Linked DNA regions of Macaca mulatta. The protein of the gene in region 1 interacts with the protein of each later gene in a pairwise test. Links are inferred from orthologs where the notes say so. Each region holds a gene or a part of one and is shown in the gene's direction. Other genes may lie near its edges.

The links.
Region 2: the proteins of TRIM23 (region 1) and PITX1 interact in binary tests that used the Homo sapiens proteins (3 or more experiments, as listed by UniProt). The link is inferred for Macaca mulatta from reciprocal best matches to the Homo sapiens genes TRIM23 and PITX1.
Region 3: the proteins of TRIM23 (region 1) and TROAP interact in binary tests that used the Homo sapiens proteins (3 or more experiments, as listed by UniProt). The two-hybrid records come from large-scale screens. The link is inferred for Macaca mulatta from reciprocal best matches to the Homo sapiens genes TRIM23 and TROAP.
Region 4: the proteins of TRIM23 (region 1) and CDR2 interact in binary tests that used the Homo sapiens proteins (3 or more experiments, as listed by UniProt). The two-hybrid records come from large-scale screens. The link is inferred for Macaca mulatta from reciprocal best matches to the Homo sapiens genes TRIM23 and CDR2.
Region 5: the proteins of TRIM23 (region 1) and LGALS8 interact in binary tests that used the Homo sapiens proteins (3 or more experiments, as listed by UniProt). The link is inferred for Macaca mulatta from reciprocal best matches to the Homo sapiens genes TRIM23 and LGALS8.
Region 6: the proteins of TRIM23 (region 1) and BRME1 interact in binary tests that used the Homo sapiens proteins (3 or more experiments, as listed by UniProt). The two-hybrid records come from large-scale screens. The link is inferred for Macaca mulatta from reciprocal best matches to the Homo sapiens genes TRIM23 and BRME1.

Annotation. Positions count from the first base shown.
Region 1 is NC_133411.1:73,707,784-73,711,283, reverse strand, and holds part of TRIM23 (E3 ubiquitin-protein ligase TRIM23), read left to right. Parts: intron 1-3,085; coding exon 3,086-3,248; intron 3,249-3,500.
Region 2 is NC_133411.1:143,947,457-143,951,510, reverse strand, and holds the start of PITX1 (pituitary homeobox 1), read left to right. Parts: upstream 1-1,254; 5' UTR 1,255-1,966; coding exon 1,967-2,000; intron 2,001-2,546; coding exon 2,547-2,783; intron 2,784-4,054. UniProt on the Homo sapiens protein: Sequence-specific transcription factor that binds gene promoters and activates their transcription. May play a role in the development of anterior structures, and in particular, the brain and facies and in specifying the identity or structure of hindlimb.
Region 3 is NC_133416.1:56,495,530-56,498,531, forward strand, and holds part of TROAP (tastin), read left to right. Parts: intron 1-486; coding exon 487-539; intron 540-1,028; coding exon 1,029-1,150; intron 1,151-2,706; coding exon 2,707-2,835; intron 2,836-2,927; coding exon 2,928-3,002. UniProt on the Homo sapiens protein: Could be involved with bystin and trophinin in a cell adhesion molecule complex that mediates an initial attachment of the blastocyst to uterine epithelial cells at the time of the embryo implantation.
Region 4 is NC_133425.1:21,841,763-21,845,745, reverse strand, and holds the start of CDR2 (cerebellar degeneration-related protein 2), read left to right. Parts: upstream 1-1,183; 5' UTR 1,184-1,258; coding exon 1,259-1,337; intron 1,338-3,983.
Region 5 is NC_133406.1:12,556,884-12,561,044, reverse strand, and holds the start of LGALS8 (galectin-8), read left to right. Parts: upstream 1-1,361; 5' UTR 1,362-1,403; intron 1,404-3,283; 5' UTR 3,284-3,382; coding exon 3,383-3,427; intron 3,428-4,161.
Region 6 is NC_133424.1:14,475,526-14,479,025, reverse strand, and holds part of BRME1 (break repair meiotic recombinase recruitment factor 1), read left to right. Parts: coding exon 1-1,155; intron 1,156-3,500. UniProt on the Homo sapiens protein: Meiotic recombination factor component of recombination bridges involved in meiotic double-strand break repair.

The DNA of each region.
Region 1 (3,500 bases):
AAATTCTATTGTGATTTTTTTTGTTTTTGAGTCGGAGTCTTGCTCTGTCGCCTAGGCTGGAGTGCAGTGGCACAATCTCGGCTCACTGCAAGCTCCACCTCCCAGGTTCATGCCATTCTCCTGCCTCAGCCTCCCAAGCAGCTGGGACTATAGGCGCCCACCACCGTGCCCGGCTAATTTTTTGTATTTTTAGTAGAGATGGGGTTTCACTGTGTTAGCCAGGATGGTCTCGATATCCTGACCTCGTGATCCACCCACCTCGGCCTCCCAAAGTGCTGGGATTACAGGCATAAGCCACCGCGCCTGGCCTGTGAATATTTTTTCTATATTTAATTGAATTTTTTTTTTTTTGAGGCAGGTTCTCATTCTGTCACCCAGGTGGGAGTGCAATGGCACAATCATGGCTCATAGCAACCTCAACCTCCTGGGCTCAAGTGATCCTCCCACCTCAGTTTTTTATTTTTTTGTAGAGACAGGGTCTCACTGTGTTGCCCAGGCTGGTCTTGAACTCCTGACCTCTAGCAGTCCTCTTGCCTTGGTGTGCCAAAGTGCTGTGATTACAGGTGTGAGCCACGGTGCCTGACCTAAATGGATTTGATAACGTGAAACTTTCCCCTTTTTAAAAAATGTAGGATGAATTGAAGTATGTGTATATATGAATAATAGATAGAATTATACATGGGTAGCTGTTCCCTAGCTGTTTCTCTTTCTCATGGGGAACCGATGTTCCAGTGTTACTGGTGTCCTATGTATCCTTCCAGGAAGACAGTACGTTTATACAACAATATAAAAATTTGCTCTTTCCCCACCTTTATGCAAAAATGAGTATATTCTATTTATCATTTTTGTTTTAATCATATGAAATCATTCTGTGTGTACATGAAAAACGTCATCTTTCTCACTATCCTATATAGTTTTATAGTATTATGAATGTGCCATAATTTATTTTCCAAGCTGATATTGATGTGTATTTACTTTGTTTCCAATTTTTTGCTAATGCAAATGATGCTTTAAGGACTAACATACAGATTTTGTCACACATGTCTAATATGCTCGTAGGATAAATTCCTGCAACTAGAATTACTGAGTTACTTAAACTTGGTAAGTATTGACAGGTTGCCCTTCATAAAAGCTGTATTGCTCAATAAACATTTCATAGCAATTAGTAATGTATGACAGTGTCTGCTTTCCCACACCTTCACTAACAAAGTGTTACCAACATTTTTGATCTAATCTGAAAAAAAAAGTATTTGATGTAGCTTTGATTTGCATTTTTTTGTTTCTTTATTTTTTTGAGACCGAGTCTCACTCTGTGATCTTGGCTCAGTGCAGCCTCCGCCTCCCAGGCTCAATCGATTATCCTGCCTCAGCCTCCTGAGTAAACTGGGATTACAGGCGCCCACCACTATGCCTGGCTAATTTTTTTGTATTTTTACTACAGAAGGAATTTCACCGTGTTGTCCAGGCTGGTCTCGAACTCCTGACCTCAGATGATCCACTTGCCTCGGCCTCCCAAAGTGTTGGAATTACAGGCATGAGCCACCGTGCCTAGCCTTAATTTGCATTTTTCTTGTTATGAGTTAGATTGAACATCTTTTCATGTAAAGAATTTTCATCGTCTTTTCTGTGAACAATTTTTTTTGTTTCTTATTTTTATTTATTTTTCTCTTCCCAAACCCTTATTTACATTGAAAGACTAAATTTAAATTTCTTTTGAACCATAATAATATACAAAGCAATTATGAATTATCACTTCATGGTGAAAGATATTTGTATCTCAAGCCCAAAGTCCAAGTTAATTACAGAGTTAGGTTTAAAATCGTAGTAGATTTAGTCTGATTTCTGCCTTGGGTTTTCTGTTTTTTACCTTGTGTTGTGTGTTTGATGATGTTGAGCTTAATTGTTTTTAAATTATTTTACTAGACTTTATGTAAGCACTAGGAACTTGGTATTTAAAATACCCTGTTCCTGAGGGTTTTTTGGTCCAACAGGGAAAGACAGACTAGAAAACCAAGGTATTAAAGCATTTTGGGTGTTATGGTAGACACTTATACAGAGTACTTGGGGGCCCAAAGGACAAGTATAGTCCTTTCCTCAGTATTAGCATGAAGAAACATGAAACAGTTTCTCATGTTCTGAGAACTATAAGCTGTTGGATATAGTTGGAGCACAGGGTCAGAAGAGTGTGGCAGTGAAGCAGTAGAACAGGGACCAGATTGTAGTGGGTCTTGAATGACAGGAGTTTGAGGTATGATTGAATAGTACAGTGGGTATTTTAAAAAAATTAATGAAACACTACAAATATACTTAGAAATAAGTGCTGAAAATGCTTTATTGCTATAAATACAATTTGTTGACTATTTATAAAACATAAACATATGGACTTGAGAATCAGAATATGCTGATAAATAGCCTTTCTTTTGACTGACTGTGTAGCCTTGTGCAAGTCATGTGTCTGTAACTAGAATTAGATAGACAAACTAATTTCTGATTCAGAGCTATATTTATTGATAGAGCACAGGAATTGAAATTTAAGGTGACTGCTTTTTTGACTTTGTATTATTTAATGTACATTAGATACCAGAAACATGAAAGTTAGTTGTAGTCTTTTCTTAACAAGTTCTTTATCATTAACAGGGGTAATTGTTAGCACGTATTTTAGATTATTTTTGTTGAAATTAATGATAGTTTATTTGTGTTGAAATTAATGATGGGTTAGGTAGTTGCAGAGAAATTGCTTAAGAACCCGCCTTCAGTAGAATTACATATTGTTTGTACAGATTCAGATGTAATGAGTGAAATCATAATTTTCAAAAGATAATGAAGATGTTAGTTTACAGCATCTTTGCCCCTAACACTACTATTAGTATTTCAAAGATATTTCGTTACGATATAATTTTGGCAGGGTCTGTCAGATGGAATGACTTAAAAGTGATTTAAGATTTTACAACTTACATAGTTCTTTTTCATGGAGGAATAAAGTAACAATGTTGATTCAATATATTAGGTGAATTTTCTTATATACCTAAAATATGTATGCTTTTAAAATGGTTTAAAGAGTACATCCTTCGTTTTCAAATATTAGGTGCTAGAGTGTGGAGTTTGTGAAGACGTCTTTTCTTTGCAAGGAGACAAAGTTCCTCGCCTTTTGCTTTGTGGCCATACAGTCTGTCATGACTGTCTCACTCGCCTACCTCTTCATGGAAGAGCAATCCGTTGCCCATTTGATCGACAAGTAACAGACCTAGGTAGGAAAAGTATTTGTATGGATTTAAGATTGAAAATTGTTCATGTAATGCAAATGTCATAGAAAACAATTTCCTTCCACTTGATTTTTAGAATGATAAAATTCCCAGAAAGTTTCAGAAAGCCTGAGTTTCTATTAAGGTGAATAATCTTCAAGCTATAAACTATCTCACGCTTAGTTACTAATTTTATTTTGTCTTCTGAGATGTTTATATTCAATACTTACCTGTAAAGAGCTTTAAGACACCTGAGAA
Region 2 (4,054 bases), about 70 Mb from region 1:
CATTTCTAAGTCTCTGCCCAGAGACGCACGGTGCTTCCCACCTTGGCCTGACATGTGGCGGGGTTAGAACACACCTCCTATCCCATGCCAGCCGGCGTTCATGCCAAGTAGCACACATATGCCTAAACTCAGCGCTTCCATAGTGCAGTGAGTACATGTGTGTGCACAGCATCTCCGCATGGATGTATAGGATGTGCGTGTGCGCGCGTGCCCCCATGCTGTCTGCACTCAGGCTGTTCTATGGGATAAGACAGCTAAAAGGAGAATGGTGTGTGAAGGGACACTCCCCAGCATGCTGCAGCACCTGAATATCTCCTTGAAAGGAGGGATCTTCTACTGGAGACTCCAAGAAACGTGGTAAAGGTGGGGCTGAGGGCAAATGCTGGGCAACTGTGCTTCCCCATGTTCCTCTGCCCATGACCAAGACTCATTTCATGGAGGGAGATCTCAGCTTGGAAGAAGGCAGAAGTCACTGAGCCTCCCCAACCCAAACTCCTGGGAAGTGTCATCCCTCTGGCCTCAGACCCTGCATTCTATGGTCACAGACGCACAGTGAGAAAGGGCCAGGCCCTAAGGAGCTGTGCTGTCTCTCCATGGCCCAGAGTGGGGGATGGGGGCAGGGGTGCTTTGGACTAACATGGAGGGAATGGAAGGCAGGTCTGGTTCCAGCCTGTGTGCCTGCCCCTGGCCCCAGCCGCCCTCACAAGGAGCTCAGCTGACCGTGGGTGTCTCCCTGTGATGCGAAGGGGTAAGGCGAGGACTCAAAGGCAGAACCTGCAGAGTGCCCCAGACGCCGACACCTGCGCAGTCAGTGCCACCCACCCAGGAGTTGAGGAGGCACTGGGTTTTGGGGTGAGGACACTGGACACCTCCCTGCTTCTTTCCCAGACCGACAATCTCCCTGGCGCTGCTCCCTTGGGTTGCTGTGTCTGGTGGAGCTGGTCACAGGTGAGGGGCAGAGGGCAGTCTGGGGTCCGCCTATGGCCAGAGAAGCAGGTCAGGGCGGCGCCTTGCCGCCCCAGCTGTGGCCTGTTTGCTCAAGACGCTGAGGTCTTGGGGCCAGGTAACAATTGTTGAGCAAAATCCTTCGACAAACTTCACCTACGTGCAAGGACTTGAGGAGGGAATCACTCTTGGGAGTGGGAGAGTAATGTCTTTGCCTGTGCCCAGTGAAGGCCCATTGGAGCTGCAACTCAGCTACCACTGTGTGGGAGAGAAGCTGGAAGACTGAGGGCTTCCTGGGCTGCTGGCCCAGGGTTGGGAGACAGCAGTCACCTGGCCTACCAGGCCTGTGCCTGAAGCCCTGGGAAGCCAGGATGCAGGCCCCAGGCTGGGACAAAGCTACCCTGAAGGAGGGCAAAGGCTGCCAAGGCCAACCCCATGCCTGCCAAGGCCAGGCCTGGCCCATTTGGCCAAAGTGTAAGGTGTAAAACAAGGGGAGAGGTAGAAGAGGCTGTGGGGCCTGGCTGGGATTCTGGGGTCTTCCCTCTGCATTCTCCAAACGCCTAGAGCCAGCAGAAACGTTTCGTCTGATTAGAAGCCATCATTTCTATCCCAATCCCGGAAAATTGACTGCGGTGCAGAGAGGGAGGCCTGAGAAGCAGCCTTAGGGGAGAAGGTCCAAGCTAATTAGGAGGCAGCATCCGGGGGCCCATTAGAGCGCAGGCTGCTGTCACTCAGCCGGGCTGAGTTCCCGGGAGAAGAGGCTGGAGAAGGAGGGGCAGGCGGCCCCTCGACGAGGACACCGCTGGGAGCTGCCGGAACGGGCCCCGGGCTCTGCCCCCGCCCCGGCGCTGGCTCGAAGGCGCCCGCTCCGTGCGATCCTGCTCGGCAAACATTCACTCATCCTGGGCTGTTCTCGCCAGCGCTGGGGACTTCGAGGCGGCCGAGACGGGAGTTGATTCTAGGCGAAACAAGTCATTTGGGGCCTGAGGTGGGCACGAGCCGCCCGGGACTTGCAGCCCAGATGCGTTTCTTTTGTGAGGCCGAGGGAGAACTCGGTGTGTCACCGGGGAAGGAGGGAGAGGCGCGGCGAGGCCGCGGGGGGCGGGGAGGCGGCGGGAAGGTGGCTGCGGAGGGGGAGGGCGCGGGCGAGGCAGGGAGGGAGGGAGGGCGGCAGAGAGGGCGCGGCGGCGCGGGCGGCTTGGGGCTGGATTCCGCCCGCGCTCCCTCGCTCGCTCGCTCCCTCCCCAGCCCCCTCCCACCCAGGCCCACCCCACCCAGCACCCCTGGCGCAGGGACTGCTGGAACCTGGCTGTGCGCGCTGTCGCTTTAAGACAGACTCTGCCGGCGCCGTCCGGAGCCTTAGAAACCGGCCCCGGATCGCGAGTCGGAGCCGGAGCCGGGGCCGGCCCGGCTGCTGAGGCCCGAGCGGCAGAAGCGCAGCACAGAGCGCTAAGCCAGGCGCCCGGTCGCGAGAAGCTGCCGCCGCCTCTGCCCGCCCGGCCCCGCAGCCCCGGGCGGTCCATGGGGCGGGTACGGCGTCGCTGCGGGCGCCGGCAGCCCTGGAGGGCAGCTGCTTAGGCGCTGCGCTCTTGTCCCCGCAGGTCGCAGCCAGGGCGGCGGGGCGCGCCCAGCCCCGGCCCCTGGAGCGCCCGCCGCGGTCCCCACCTCCATGGACGCCTTCAAGGGGGGCATGAGCCTGGAGCGGCTACCGGAGGGGCTCCGGCCGCCGCCGCCGCCACCCCATGACATGGGGCCCGCCTTCCACCTGGCCCGGCCCGCCGACCACCGCGAGCAGCTCGAGAACTCCGCCAGCGAGTCGTCTGACACCGAGCTGCCAGGTAAGCGCCGTTCCCCTCGCGGCGCGCACGGAGCCTACTTGGGCGCGGGGCACGGGGAGCTGGGAGCAGGGCCTGACGCCCGCGCCGTGCAACCAAGCTCCCTCTCCGCCCCAGAAGCGTCAGGAGCTTTCTTTTTCCCGTTCTCGACCTGATGGTGAACGCGGAAACTTAACGCATACGCGAAGGCACTTCCACGCGGTCCCCACGCGCCAACAGACTGGCAGATGCATGAGCCTACAGCTAGAGGGTTGGACTGACAGCCCCTCTTGATCAGGAGTAAATAGAACGGGGGAAAATTGGATTTGCGCAACTGGGCACTAAGAAGCGACTCGGACGAAGGGAGAGGAGCAGACCGAGAAAGGAATGGGGGTGACGGGCGAGAGAACGCCCTCAGAGAGACAGAGAGAGAGGCTAACACCGTGACAGTAGGCGACAGAATGAAAGAGAGAGGCCAAAGAGAAGGGGCGGGCGGGAAGGGTAAACGGGGAGAGGGGGTCATCAAGTAGAAGGAAGACACAGAAGACGGTGAGGGCGAGCGGGCCAAGAGGCGCGGCCGGACTCCCAGCAAGGCCAGCCCGAACCCCGATCGAGGGATCCGGCCCACGTGTGCAGCCGAAGCCCGGAGCTGCCCGGCCCTGGCCCCCGCCCCGGCTCCGGCGCGTCTCCCTCCGCGCTGCCTTTTTGTACGAGCTGGAGCTTTTTTCCAGCAGCGAACTGGGCCCGGGGGTGGCCGGCGCGGGCAGTAGGGTAGCGAATCCGCTGCCCAGCACAGCCGCCTGGGTCCCCGAGGGGCTCAGAGCTCCCCGGCATGGGCGCCTCTTCTGCTCGTTTCTTCTGTTCATTTCTTAATACACAGCTGAGTGTTTCTTTACACTTTCTTAATCTGTTTGTTTCTCTTTTGCATCCCTAAGTGATTTTTCTGAGAGGTTCTGTTTGCTTGGTTAAAACACAATCAACGCTGAACTATACTTTTGTTTTCAAAAGTTTTAAGTGCGGTCTTTGGTTGGTTTTATTTTTAAAACCTAGAGAGATATATAATCATAGATTGATTTTTTGAACCAAATCTATGAGGATGAATTAACAATTTTAACTTTATCTTTCGATTTTGAAATAATTAATATACTAAGTGTAGGTCTCTGGAATTTAAAATATCTACATGCAACATTATTCTTCCGGAGATTTTAAAAAGTCAATCCAAAATGGCGCGTTTCTCCGGAATTTTCTCAAAATCCATTTACAGTGGTGTTATTTGGGGAATTTAAATTATCTAA
Region 3 (3,002 bases), on another chromosome or scaffold:
GGTCATCTGGAAAAGAATGAACCAGTGTCTGATACAGGAGTCCCCCAGAGTTGGGGCCTTCCAGTAGCTTTAGGACTCCCCACCAACTCTGAAGGGGAAGCAAGAAACCTGTGATTACCCAGGATGAGCCCTTGGGATAGGGTTCAGGCCTTCACAGGCAGGCCTCAGTGTGACATCAGTTTCTTCAAGTCATGGGGGGACAGGCAGGACAGAAATGTGCTATCTCTTTTGTTTAGTGGCTACAGTATAGACTGTGGCAATAAATGGGATTTGGGTTTATATCCTAACTCTTACCACTTACTAGTTGTGCAAGCTTGCCTTCACCTCTCTGAGCTTTGGTTTCTTTGTCAAGTGAGAATAACATTTGTATCATCATTAGAAATTGTCATGAGAATGAAATGAGATGATGTTTGTAAAGCACTTAGCACATGTCCAGCTCATACTTGGTACTCAGTGACTGCTGGCTACTGTCCTTATTGTCATCAGGACTTCAGTGAGCCAGGCCTCAGGATTGCTCCTGGAGACCCCAGTCCAGCCTGGTGAGTGTGTCTGGCTGTGGGGAGAGCACAGGGGCAGTTGGGCTGCCTGAAGCAGGGAACAAGATCAGATAAAACTCAGCAGGCTGGGAGGGAGCATGAGAAAGTGGGAGGCTGGGAGGCTAGGTCAGAAGGAGAAGAAGAAGAGACTTTCTAGATAGGCTAGAGGTTGGCACAGTTGCACTTGTGTCAAAGGAGATGGTCTTCATTTCGGCCCTCTCTCTGCCACTTCCTGCAAGATTTATCTTCCACTCACTGTTTATCCCCAGCCCCTAAGTGCCATCACCACATACCCAGCCTACTCAGACGTTCAGATTAGTAAGTGTTTACTGAGATAGTGTTGGGTGTTGAGGGGCTGCTGGATGGGTTCCTGTCCCTAATAGTGCAATGGGGGCTATTAAACTAATATACCCTCTTCAGAAGTTGTAGAACCCTGTGCCAAACTTTGGTGGGTGTTCTAGAGTCTACAACAAATGTCCCGTTTCTTCCTAGCTTTCTCTCTCCCTAAAGGAGAACATGAGGTTGTCACTCGCTCAGATGAAGGAAGTGTGGCCTCTCTTGGTCTGGCCCAGCGAGTACCATTAAGAGAAAACCGAGAAATGACACATACCAGGGTGAGATGCAACTCTCCTGGGATGGTGGGTGGGAGGTGCAGGAGATGCTTGGGAGAATTTCGCAGCAGCAGCCAACACTGAGAATTGTAGGTAGAGCCAGGCAGTCTTGGGCCTCAGGATGTTATTGGGTAGGTTTACCCCAGATGCACCCAGTCCCTCTCCAATGTGAAACTGACCTCTCTTTATCAAATGTCTAGGGCCTGGGGTGAGAGATCATATTTGTATCACCGTCAGATCAGTGCTAAGGGTGAGACAGATCTGCCACTTGTCAGCCAAAAGGATTCATCCCTTCGCTTCACAAATATTTACTGAGTAGCACCAGCCTACTGAGTGCCAGGCCGTGTTCTAGGCTCTGGACATACAGCAATAAACAAGTTCATATTCTAGAAGGGGGAGACAAGAAATAAACACATATATAAAATAGTGTCTCAGATGACTGTAAGTTCTCTATAAAAAAATAATAAAAATAATAGGGCACTAAAGGGGAATTGGGAGCAGGGGAGTTGGTGTTGCAATTTAAAATAGATTGGTCAGGGAACTCTTATTGAGAAGATGATGTTTAAGTGAAGACCAGGGGTTGGAGGAGGAGTGAGATATGTTGATATCTGGGGGAAGGAATGTTCCAGGCCAAGAGAACTGAAAAGGCAAAGGCCCTGGGGAGGGAATGTGCCTGGCATATTTGAGGATCGGCAAAAAGGAGAGGCCAGTGAGATTGAAGCAGAGTAAGGAGAGCGGTAGGAGATATGGTTTTAGTGATAACACGATCAGATTGGGTAAGGAATTGTACACTAGTGGGAAGCCATGGGGAGAAGGGTTGATCAAGAAAGTGACATGATTTGACTTAGGTCTTTTTTTTTTTTTTTTTTTTTTTTGAGACGGAGTCTCGCTGTGTCGCCCAGGCTGGAGTGCAGTGGCCGGATCTCAGCTCACTGCAAGCTCTGCCTCCCGGGTTTTTACGCCATTCTCCTGCCTCAGCCTCCCGAGTAGCCGGGACTACAGGCGCCCGCCACCTCGCCCGGCTAGTTTTTTGTATTTTTTAGTAGAGACGGGGTTTCACCGTGTTAGCCAGGATGGTCTCGAACTCCTGACCTCGTGATCCGCCCGTCTCGGCCTCCCAAAGTGCTGGGATTACAGGCTTGAGCCACCACGCCCGGCCTTTTTTTTTTTTTTTGAGACGGAGTTTCACTCTTGTTGCCCAGGCTGGAGTGCAGTGGCATGATCGCCACTCATCACAACCACCGCTTCCCAGGTTCAAGTGATTCTCCTGCCTCAGCCTCCTGAGTAGCTGGGATTACAGGCATGCACCACCACGCCTGACTAATTTTGTAGTTTTAGTAGAGACAGGGTTTCTCCATGTTGGTCAGGCTGGTCTCGAACTCCCGACTTCAGATGCTCTGTTCTCCTTGGCCTCCCAAAGTGCTGGGATTACAGGCCTGAGCCACCATGCCTGGCTTGACTTAGGTCTTAAAAGAATCACGCTGGCTGCTGTAGTGAGAACAAGATATAGGAAGACAAAGGGGGCAGGGATCACTCTTCCACCTTTTTCTTCTTCACAGGACAGCCGTGACTCCCACCTGATGCCCTCCCCTGCCCCTGTGGCCCAGCCCTTGCCTGGCCATGTGGTGCCATGTCCATCACCCTTTGGACGGGCTCAGCGTGTACCCTCCCCAGGCCCTCCAACTGTGGTTTGTGTCAACAACTGGGGGCTGGGCAGGGGCAGAACAGTCTGGCCAGAGATCCTTGCTAGGTCTGCTAAGCCACCCACATCTCTCCCCAGACCTCATATTCAGTGTTGCGGCGTCTCACCATTCAACCTAAAACCCGATTCACGCCCATGCCATCAACCCCCAGA
Region 4 (3,983 bases), on another chromosome or scaffold:
TTTTACCTTTACGTCAAGGTTGAGAACATTGACCTTCAGGTCTGTCATCCTGCTTAAGAGTTTCCGTGCTTTGTCTGTAAGATGGTGCTAAAAGCTTTACTCATGAGCAGTATTTGCTGGGTTATGTCGGTGGAGGACAGCGTGCTCTGCCTTGCTGGCTACTAAGTGCTGGGGCTGCAGCCTGACCCCTCCAGGTGCAATGCCACGTCCCCAGATGCTTAACTTGTGGTCTAGAGGTACCTTTTAAAAATCGTTGCAACCCTGCTTACAATTTTCCCCCTCCAAGTGGACAGCTTCGGGCATCCCTCACTGCCCCAGATTCTCAACGGGGTCTGGCGCCCACCGTTTTAGGGAGCGTAATTCCCAGAGCTCAGATGTCAACGAGACAAGAGCTACCGCTCAGTGGGCGTTTTCTCAGCCCTAAACTCCCGATCGACTCCGAGTCTCCTTGCCGGACCCGGAGCAAATCTCAGAGTCAACATGCGAGAAGCGGCAGCCGGGCGGCGGACCTCCGGCTTCCGGCACCCTCGCGCTTCCCGCCGGCACGAAGGACGCCTCTCGACAACCGCCCGCCTCTCAGAGGCCGAAGTCCTAGGCCCTCCGGCCTGCGCTGCCTGTCCACGGACGCGCTGGCCTCGGGACACCCACCAAAGCGGCAGGACTCGCCTCCGCCAGCTCCACAGCCCGGAACCTAGTACGCGCTCCTAGGAGCCGCACAGCGCAGATCAGGGGGCGGGCTTTCGGCCGCACCCCTTCACTGTTTCCCCGCCTTCTTTGTTTATTCGGGGCCCGTCATTGGCTGCTTGGCCTCGAAACCGGGCGAGCCGCGGGTCTTTGGAGAGACGCTATTGGACGAAGTCCCTGTCGCTCGGCCAGCGGCCCGCTCGCGATTGGTTGAGAAGCCGCCGGGGGTTTGAATCGCATCCCCGGCCGGGGAGGGTTCTGCCAAAGTGCCACGTTGGGCCCGGCGGCGGCGTGAAGACCGGCGGCAGCGTGAGAACCTGGCTCCCTACGTTCGCGCCGTAACGCCCGGCCGTTGGGGCCGTTGGGAGGCGCTAGGCGAGTCGAAGCAGCCGGCCGGTCGGCGGCGGTCGCCGGCGGGAACGGGGCTGAGGCGGCGCGGCGGAGCCTGGGCGGCGGCGCGTCCCGCCCGAGGGCGGCTCTGGCTGAGGGCGGAGGGGCCGGGGAAGAGCCCGGGGCAGCGGCTGAGGCGGGACGGCGGCGGCGGGGACCGTTGCCCCTAGAGGACCCAGCCGAGATGCTGGCGGAAAACCTGGTGGAGGAGTTTGAAATGAAGGAGGACGAGCCGTGGTACGACCACCAGGACCTCCAGCAAGGTGAGGGCGGGGGCGCCCCGCGGGCGGGCGGGCGGCGGCGGCGGCGGCCTGGCCCGGGAGGCCCCCGCTGCGAAACTGTTAAAAAGTTGCTTTTTCTGGCGGCTGAGGATGCAGGTGCCGGGAAGGGCTCGGGCTCACCTGGCGGCGGGGCCGGCCGTGCCCGTGGATCCCGCCCGCAGGAAGCCTCGGCGCGGGGCCCACGGCCCTGCTAATGCGCAGTTGAATATCAGACCCGAGGCGCATGGGGGCCAGGGACGCGCCAGGCACCGTTTTAAGCGCTTTCCGTGGATTAGCTAGTTTAATCCTCACTGCATTCCTCCGAGGCAGACCGGGTGAGCCAGTGTGTCCCGTAGTAAGTGGCAGAGCCCGAGAAGCCGCCCCCTCGCAGGCTGTGTAGCCCAGCGCCTTTCTTGGCCAGCACGGAGGGCCGGCTGCTGCAGGTGGTAGTGGTTTTGCGATGTAGCGGGAGCTGTGCGCTCTGCGCCGTAACTCTAGGAGACAGTAACTTTTAAAAAATTGATTAATTTTGAGGGTACATAGTAGGTGTATCTATTTATGGGGTACGTGAGATGTTTGGATACAGGCACGCAGTGTGAAATAAGCACGTGATGGAGAACGGGGCGTCCATCCCTTCCAGCATTTATCCATTGAGGTACAAACAATCCAATTACACTGAGAGTAACTTTTGTTATCCCATTTTCCAGATGAGGAAAGCGGAGGTTGAAACGGTTGAGTGGCTTGCCTAAAGCTAAGTGGGGGAGGGAGTGGTTTTTTGAACCCACACACTCAAAAGGAGGAGTTGTAGTCACTCCTCAAACCCCCATCCCTTCCTTACCATCCTAGTTAACAGTTTTTTTTCAGTTGGGAATTAAGCTGTTACGCATAGTTCACCAGATGCCAGTTGAAATGACAGAAGAGCGCTTCTACCTCTGCCACTTTTCTTCAGTTTGCATGCCAGCTTTCACTTAGAAATAGGCCTGCCGATGGTGTCTCCAGAGAACAATCATAGAGCAGCCAACACTTTGGGGCCAGTGGGGCCCCACTTTTTTTTATACTAATAGCAGGAGCTAGCAATTGGGGAACACTTTTGATGTGCCTAACACTGATAGGCCCATAACAGAGTTGCTCATTTATCTCCCAGTAACACAATAGAGGTGATAATGTTGGGGAGTGCTAGGGTTCCCCTTAAGACTCGAGAGCAAACATTCTTAACCGCTATACTGAACACTGTGAATAATCCTCAGGAATTTTTCCCGGCATCTTTGGTTTCTGCAATTCTATGTAAATGTTTTCAGCTCTAATCTTGCAGTGAAAATTAACATCTCATTTAGTTAAATATTGAATGATGCTGATGCTTGTTCATGCTAACCACTGAACATGGCAGATGCTTGTTCATGCTAACCACTGAACATGGCAGATGCTTGTTCATGCTAACCACTGAACATGGCAGAAGGAAACTGTGTAGACTTGAGTAACTCAGAAAAGGAAAATAAAACGAGCACCTCTTTTGGAGGAAGATAATTTCTTAAATTAACATGCAATCACTTTAACCAAAGTAATTCACCTTTATTACGCTTATAGAGTCCAAGCTGCTTAGTGGTTGCAGTGCAGTGTTTGGTGGCATCATCTTTATGTCCAAAGGACACATTTCTCATACGTTTTAACAAACCTGTTTTCAGATTTCCCCATAGGGATTGATGGCCTAGTTTGATAGTTTCTCCAGGATTTGTGAGGCAACCACTGTGCCATTGCAGTATTTCCCTATAATTTAATTTGTATCATCACAACTAAATATTTTTCTTTCCTGTATTTAAGAAGCATAGGCCGGGTGCGGTGGCTCACGCCTGTAATCCCAACACTTTGGGAGGCCGCGGCGGGTGGATCACAAGATCAGGAGTTTGAGCCCAGCCTGACCAACAAGGTGAAACCCCGTCTCTACTAAAAATACAAAAATTAGCCAGGCGTGCCTATAATTAGCATGTGCCTGTAATCCCAGCTACTCAGGAGACTGAGGCAGGAGAATTGCTTGAATATAGAAGGCCGAGGTTGCAGTGAGCCAAGATGGCGCCGCGGCACTCCAGCCTGGGCGACACGAGACTCTGTCTTAAAAAAAAAAAAAAATTTAAGAAGCATAAATCCTTAAGGGTATAGAGGGGGCAGGTTCTTTTTTCTGGTATTCCCAGCATCTAGCATAATACTTGGCACATACTGGAAGCTCGATTTTAGTATTTGTTGAACTGCACTGAAGCACTATCACAGAAGTGTTTTCATGGCTCTCTTCCATCAGGTGCCTTAGTCCACGCTGCGTTCTCCCACTGTTGGAGGTTGTTTGGAACCACCAGCTGTAACACTTCAGTCTATCAAGCAGCAAGTGCAGCGTGTCAGGGTTACAGGTGGAATTCTCTTTAACCTCTGATCAAAATAAAGTCATCAACTCTTCAAGTTTAACGTTAAAAACACAGGTCTGGCCAGGCGCGGTGGCTCACGCCTGTAATCCCAGCACTTTGAGAGGCCGAGGCAGGTGGATCACGAGGTCAGGAGAACGAGACCATCCTGGCTAACACGGTGAAACCCTGTCTCTACTAAAAATACAAAAAATAAAAAATTAGCCGGGCATGGTGGTGGGCGCCTGTAGTCCCAGCTGCT
Region 5 (4,161 bases), on another chromosome or scaffold:
TACACTATGCACTGGGGAATGTATAAGACAAGTTCATTCTCAAACTACAGTCGAGTTGGACAGATAAAACACACGACACACACCAGAAGATAACTATAAATCCAAGGCAGTGTATGTCAAGGGTAAATTCACTTATTCAAATTGGATCTTGAGAAGTGTATCTAACTTGGAAAATGGGTAAGGAGGAGAGAAAAGCAACAGTGAATCAGAACATGAGTTCCCAGTTATGGGACTTGTAATGAATTCCTCGATTAAAATAAAAAATAATGAAAACAAAAGCCAAGGAGGAGAAAGCCCATGTTGGTGACACTAAAATATATCTTTCCAAACAAATGTGGATAAAAGTTAAGTAGAGAAGATGAGAACTTTGAGGTCCCTAACACAAAACAAACAATAAGCAGCAAGCCATTCCAAGTGGCTGACATGACTTTGTTTCAAACTTTATTTATATTTCTGGCTGGTGTGTTTACAGCCAATAGGTCAAACTATCAGTGTAGAGCCCTGAGAAGTTGGGTATTTACGGAGCATCTAATACGCACAGAATTGTGCTCCATACTGCTTAAACTGTTCCCTAAGTGTCCAATTTGGAGAAAACACCCACGCGCAGGGTAACTAGCGAGTGACGCGGAGTGGCTGCGAGTCCATGTTATCACTAACGGATGGGGCGCTTTGAGCTGGGCACAGTCCAAGGTACTGAACCCTTCCCCCAGTTTCGCCTACATCCAGAGGTGTGTACCTTCAAAAAGCAGTGCCTTCAGGTCTCTTCTGGCACTGTCTGGACTCCGTTCCGAGGCAGACGAGGAAGCTGAGAAAACCCTGGCATTGACCCCGTGGACCTGGGCGCCCCGGGAAGGCCAGCGCTGGGTCCAGGCAGGCGGGGCCTGTGCGGTGATCACCCCGGGTCCCGGAAAGTCCCAGCCCTGAGCGCCCTCCTAGACCTGGAGGCCTGGAACAGCCAAGTGGACGTTGGCCCACTTGCTGCGGAAGAGAAAGCCTTTCTCTTCTTTCCTTCCCATTTTCCTACCACCTTCCACCCACTCCGCCTTCGGGGCAAAGGCAGCCAGATCCACCCAGGACACATTCTTTGTCCTTATCTTCTGTGCTCTCCCACAGCAAGCCAGTCGCGGTCCAAGGCCCCAGAGGCTGTGCAGGAGGCCGAGCTGGGTGGCGATCAGTGGCGGGTCCCTGTCCAAAATCCAGCAGAGCCGCCAGGGACGCTCCATACACAGACGGCGCAGCGCGGGTAGGGTGGGGAGACCACAGCGGGAGAGCCAGGAAGTGAACGAGGACTGACTCCTGTCGCTTCCCGTAGCCGCCCACGGACGCCCCAGCCGGGAACCGGACGGCACCTAGCGGCTGACAAACAACTTGCTCCGTGGAGCGCCTGAAACACCAGTCCTTGGGTGAGTAGCGCGACCCCCGGCCACTGGGACAGTCGCTAGGGGAGTGGCTGCTCTGAGGGCCTCGCCAGTGGAGGATGGCATTCGGATGTCACGCCTCCTAAATCACAATTTGATGGGTGGGACAGTGTCCAGTCCACCCCAACCCGCAGGTCCTCACCGCGGCAGAGCCGGGGCTGGGTGGCGGGGACGCTGCCTCTGCAGGCGAGGTTGCTCCGGGGCATAAGGGGTTATCAGGAGTCGCGGCCTTTCTTGTACATCCCTGGCTGGAGTCAGGCTGTTTGTCCTGGGGTGTCTCCTCGCTGCAAATCCACCGCACCTGTGCTGCTTTCTACCCTGTTCCCTCCTAACCTGAGGCCTAGAGCCACCTTCAAGTGGAGGAATCTGGGGAAGCTTCCGTCCCGGAATTTGTAGTGACATTGCTTTCCCTCCCTCTAACACGCGCTTTAGGATGCCGAGTCATTTGACTGCAGTATTAAACATTACAAAGGGCAAGTCATGTGACTTCCTTTGACCGTACGTGAAACTTAAGTGATGGCTTCTTGTGATGCATACGAAGTGGTCATGCTGGCGGGACCTGTCCCTGGGGATACTTCAGGGGTTGCGTGATTTAATGCAAGCCGATGATTTAAATTGGGTCACTCGCTGGTTATCACACATGTGTATGGCAACTCGGCATCCATTCTTTTTGCTCTTGTTCTTGCTTCCTGTATTGAGTCACGGAGCCAGAGTTTTGAGGTTTTGACTAACGAATTAAGTTAATGACATAGACTGGGGTTATATTTAGGTGGTAAACCAAGAGGGGTACAGTTTTTTTCTTAATAAAGAAAAAGTAATAGATTTGATCGGTGTGTATTGTTGGTGTGCGGTATAATGACAATTGCTGGAAGTAAAATACAGGAAGCTCTAGTTTCGTTTCCCCTTTAGTTCTGCTTAAAGTCATCGAGTTTTTCCTAGAGTTATTAAATGTAGTGTCCATGGGTGCTTTTATCTTAAAAAATGTGGCTAATGCTTTCCAACACTCCCCTGCCCTGTGATTTTTTTTTTTAAAGCAGCAGAGAAAATTGTATCTTAATAGTATTAAAATTATTGGATTTCCACACCTTGATTTGTTTAAATTGGAGGAAGAAGAGCAATTCTTTTTATTCACAATAATAATAGCTAACATAGCACTTACTCTTTCACTATTTTATTAACTCAATCCTCAGAACAAACCAATGATGTGAATACTGTAATTATTGTCCTTTTATGGAAATGAAAAGTGAAATGAATACCTCTGATAATTGTACAGGACTGTTTGATTAGTAATGGCCATTAATTAATTAGTTTGTTTTTTTGAGATGGAGCCTCGTTCTGTTGCCCAGGCTGGAGTGCAGTGGCACGATCTTGACTCACTTCAACCTCCACCTCCCAGGTTTAAGCAATTCTCCTGTCTCAGCCTCCTGAGTAGCTGGGACTGCAGGTGCATGCCACCACATCTGGCTAATTTTTGTATTTTTAGTAGAGATGGGATTTCACCATATTGTTCAGGCTGGTCTCGAACTCCTGACCTCAGGTGATCCACCCGCCTTGGCCTCCCAAAGTGCTGGGATTACAGGCGTGAGCCACCATGCCTGGCCTATTTTAGTATTTTTAATAATAAATTCCATGTTAGAAATTTTCTACTGATGTATTTTCTAAGTCAGTATTTCCTACACTCACAATCCAAAATTGTTTAGTATATGAGCACACTGGTAAGAATGGGAGGCAGATCTTTGATTGTAATAACATTCTATTATTTGGTAAATATCAGTAACATAATGTATAATTTAAATTTTAAAATAGGATATGAAGAAAAATGCTGCATGCTTACTTTTCTTTTCCTCTGTTTTTACTTTACACAGGGCCAGTGCCTCAGTTTCAATCCAGGTAACCTTTAAATGAAACTGGCCTAAAATCTCAGGTCATACACAGAAGAGACTCCAACAAGAAGCTGGAAAAGGATGATGTTGTCATTAAACAACCTACAGAATATCATCTATAACCCGGTAACTGAGTTCTAGAAAACAACGTTTTACCTATGCCAGGATTGAGAGCAGATCCAATACAATATTAATTATCCATTGGGAGACAGGGCAAAAATAAAAGCCAGCGAACATATTTAAAGCACCTACTATGTAATAGGGATGGTGGTGGGCGCTGACTACAAAACAGCTGTCGTCCTCTAGTGGAGGAAGAAGTCACGATGGCAATATGACGTGATGAAACAGTGTTATAAACAGGGAACGTCTGGGTAGAGTGGAGGGAATGCCAACTTTTGGTAATGGGAGGAGGCTCAGCTAATCATAAATTTTAGTTTTTAAAGGCAAATGGATTTCTTACTCTACAAGTTTTTCATTTTCTTTTTTAATTAGAGCTGTCCATGAGAAGTTAGTGTCCCGATCTTTCCCTCAGCCTTTCAAATACTGCTTGGCACTTGAGCAGGGAAAATGTCAAAAGCCAGTGGGGAGACGGAGAGTGAGAAGTAGTAAAGGGTCTCGTGCAGTTCAGGCTGGTCCTAGAACCCCTGAATGACTGTAATTGCTGGAAATTGCCCTGTAATCCTAAGCAGTAAAGAGCTTGTTTTAGTTTTATGTGGTGGTGAGAATCTTTAGGAATGTCTAGTTTCCACTTATTTGAAGCTGACTCCTGAATTGAGGTCTGGGAAAGGACAGCCACTTTTTTAGTAAACCCCCTAGAAGATTCTTGGGCAAAAGGAAGGGCGAGAATCCTTGAAATAAGG
Region 6 (3,500 bases), on another chromosome or scaffold:
CACCCTGAGCAGAGCAGCCAGAGCCCTGTGCAGGCTGTGCCCAGCAGTGGAGATTCTCAGCCTGATGACCCTCCAGACAGGGGGACGGGGTTGTCCTCCTCACAGAGGGCCAGCCAAGACCACCTGTCAGAACAAGGGGCTGAAGACAGCAGGCCTGAGACAGATGGGGTTCCAGGTGATCGTGGCCAAAAGGAACACCTACCAAGCAGTGATTCTGAAGGGGAGAAGCCAGACAGAGGAGCCCTCAAGGAGGGAGGGGCCCAAAGGACAGCAGGGGCTGGCCTGCCTGGAGGGCCCCAGGAGGAGGGAGACAGTATCCCCTGTACCCCAGCATCAGCTCCTACCTTGGGCCCTGCTCTGGGACTGGGCCCTGCCTCTTGGTGCCTGGAACCCGGGTCTGTGGCCCAGGGCTCTCCTGACTCCCAGCAGACCCCCAGCAGGATGGGCAGGGAAGGGGAAGGGACTCATAGCAGCCTGGGATGCTCCTCCCTCGGGATGATTGTCATTGCAGACCTGAGCACAGACCCTGCTGAGCTGGAAGAGAGGGCTCTGGAGGTGGCTGGGCCCGATGGGCAGGCCAGCGCCATGTCACCTGCCTCTCCCAAGAGGAAGGCCGCTGATGGAGGCTACAGGAGGGCCCTGCCAGGCTGCACCCCACTCACTGGGGAAACCGCAGGAGAAATGGGGGAGGCAGGGCAGGATGACAAGCCCCCTGGCGATGTCCCAGTGGGCCCGACAGCCTCCCTGGCTCTGGCACCCGGGAGTGGAGAGTCCATGATGGGCGCTGGAGATTCCAACCATGCAGCCACGGACACGGGTCCATGTGTCGATCAAAAGCAGGAGCCAGGCCTTACTCCAGAGGCAGCCGAGTCAGGTGGCCAGGACCTCGAACAAGACCTTGAGGGGCTCCGTGTGTCCCCGCAAGCTTCTGTTCTGCCAGAACACAGAGAAGCAGCAGACAGCCCTCTCCAGGAGCCTGGGGCCCAGCAGGGCATAGACACCACCTCAGACCTGGCAGGGCAGCAAGACCACCTGCCTCATTCTGCAGACCAGGCCGCCTGGGCAGACTCTTCAGCTGTGGAACTCGACTTCCTGCTGGACAGCCAGATACAGGATGCCCTGGACGCTTCTGACTTCGAAGCCCCGCCTGAGCAGGTAAGAGCTGCCCCGAGTGACAGACATACCTGCCCAGGGCAGGCACCTAACCTCCACAAGCCCTCTCCTCACGTGGCACAGCGGTGGAGGGGGAGCTGGGGCTCAGGGCGTACCATTTACACAGCCAACGACTCTAGGAGTCTGAGTTGCAGCTCTATTGGATGTGGAGTCGGTGGTTTTCCAGAAAGTATAGACCTGCCTTTCGGTGGTTGTCTACATATCCAGGGATGGTGACACACAGCTGCTTTCTCAGCCGGGCCTCCCACATTGAACTGGAGTCCCCAGGAGTGCCAGCCCCTGGCAGCTTCTGATTCAGTGCCTGACCCTGGCTGTGGGGTCCCGGGGCATGTATTGAGGGCGGTGGACACAGTGGGGTGATGGAGAGAAGCTGGGCCTGGGGAGGGGGCTTCACTCCCAAGCTGCAAAAGAGCCTTTGCCCATCTCCTTAGGGTCCTCTGGGGGTCCTGATATGATTCTTTCCCAAACATACATAAGTCATTTTGTTTTTCTGCCAGAACTTGTAAGGGCTTTGCCTCCTTCAGGGATCTGCCTGCCCCACTGGCTGCCCAGATGTGGCCTCCTCTGGCTCCAGAGCTGGTGCCAGCTGTTGGCATTCGTTCTCCTGTCTGGGCAGGTGGCAGCCTTGCTTCAGCCCTGCCCCCCAGGGGAAGAGTGACCTCCCCAGCTGTTGGCACACCTGAGCCTGGGCTGAGGGCGTCACAGTCACACCCTGGGAGGCAGGCGGTTCTCTGTCCACACACTGGGTGTAGCAGCGAAGACTCTGGAAGAGTTCATGCACCTGTTGGAGGTGAGGCAGGCGGGAGGGGAGGAAGCCAGGCTGGCACCCAGGTCATGCCCCAGCTGCCGCATCCTGGAACACAGAGCCAAATTTGCCTTTCAAATGTCAGCCTCTGTTTCTTTGCTGTCCCTGTGTCGAGATGTAAAAAAAAAAAAAAAAAAATTCATGGCCAGGCACAGTGGCTCCCACCTATAATCCCAGCACTGGGAGACCGAGGCAGGAGGATCACCCGACGTCAGGAGTTCAGGACCAGCGTGGCCAACGTGGTGAAGCCCCATCTCTACCAAAGTACAAAAATTAGCTGGGCGTTGTGGCATGTGCCTCTAATCCCAGCTACTCTGGAGGCTGAGGCAGAAGAATCGCTTGAACCCGGGAGTCGGAGGTTGCAGTGAGCTGAGATGACACCACTGCACTCTAGCCTGGGTGACAGAGCAAGACTCTGTCTCAAAAAAGAAAAAATTGGCCGGGCGCGGTGGCTCAAGCCTGTAATCCCAGCACTTTGGGAGGCCGAGACAGGCAGATCACGAGGTCAGGAGATCAAGACCATCCTGGCTAACATGGTGAAACCCCGTCTCTACTAAAAAATACAAAAAAACTAGCCGGGCGAGGTAGCGGGCTAAAATAAAATACAAAAAAACTGTAGTCCCAGCTACTCGGGAGGCTGAGGCAGGAGAATGGCGTAAACCCGGGAGGCGGAGCTTGCAGTGAGCTGAGATCCGGCCACCGCACTCCAGCCTGGGCGACAGAGCGAGACTCCGTCTCAAAAAAAAAAAAAAAAAAAAGAAAAGAAAATTAGCCAGGCATGGGGATGCATGGCTGCAATCCCAGCTACTTGGGAGGCTGAGGCAGGAGAATCACTTGAGCCCGGGAGGTTGAGGTTGCAGTGAGCCGAGATTACGCTACTGCACTCCAGCGTGGGTGCCAGAGACCCTGTCTCAAAAAAAAAAAAAAATTGGTGAGTCACAGTGCAGTTCAGTGGTAGAGGCTGAACACGAGCGTGTGGGAAAGGCAGGAGTTCTGTTGCTGGGCGCAGCTGAAATTTTATGAGAGCCTCATGCCTTGCAAAATGCAAATCCCTCACTTAAGAGCCGCCTCCATTGCCTCCAGTCTGTGTTCTCGTGGGTGGTGGCTTGGAGAGAAGGCTGGGAAATGGTTAAGGTGTTTGGGGCCAGGTGCAGCTAAGTGGCATCCAGCAGGTGAAGCCCCTAACCCTCCTAAATGGGCTGCCAAACTGCGAGCTTGGAAAAAGACCCTGAAATCCAGACTCGGGGGGATCCAGACGGACAGCTGGCTGGTCAGACCTGACCAGCACCGGCAGCCTTTCCCCTGCCAGGGGAGGAGGCACCGCCCTGACAGCACTGCCAAGGCCTAGGCATGTTTGGTTTTGACACGAGGCGTTCCCTAGCAAGTCAAGGCGACCCAGGCAAGGAACACATTCCCGTGGGAAGGTTCCGGGTGGCTCCTGGCAGGAAGGCCAAGGCCCATGTCTCCCGGCATGGGCAGGGGCACGGGGAATAGCAAAGATGGATTGAGAGGGCCGTCTCAG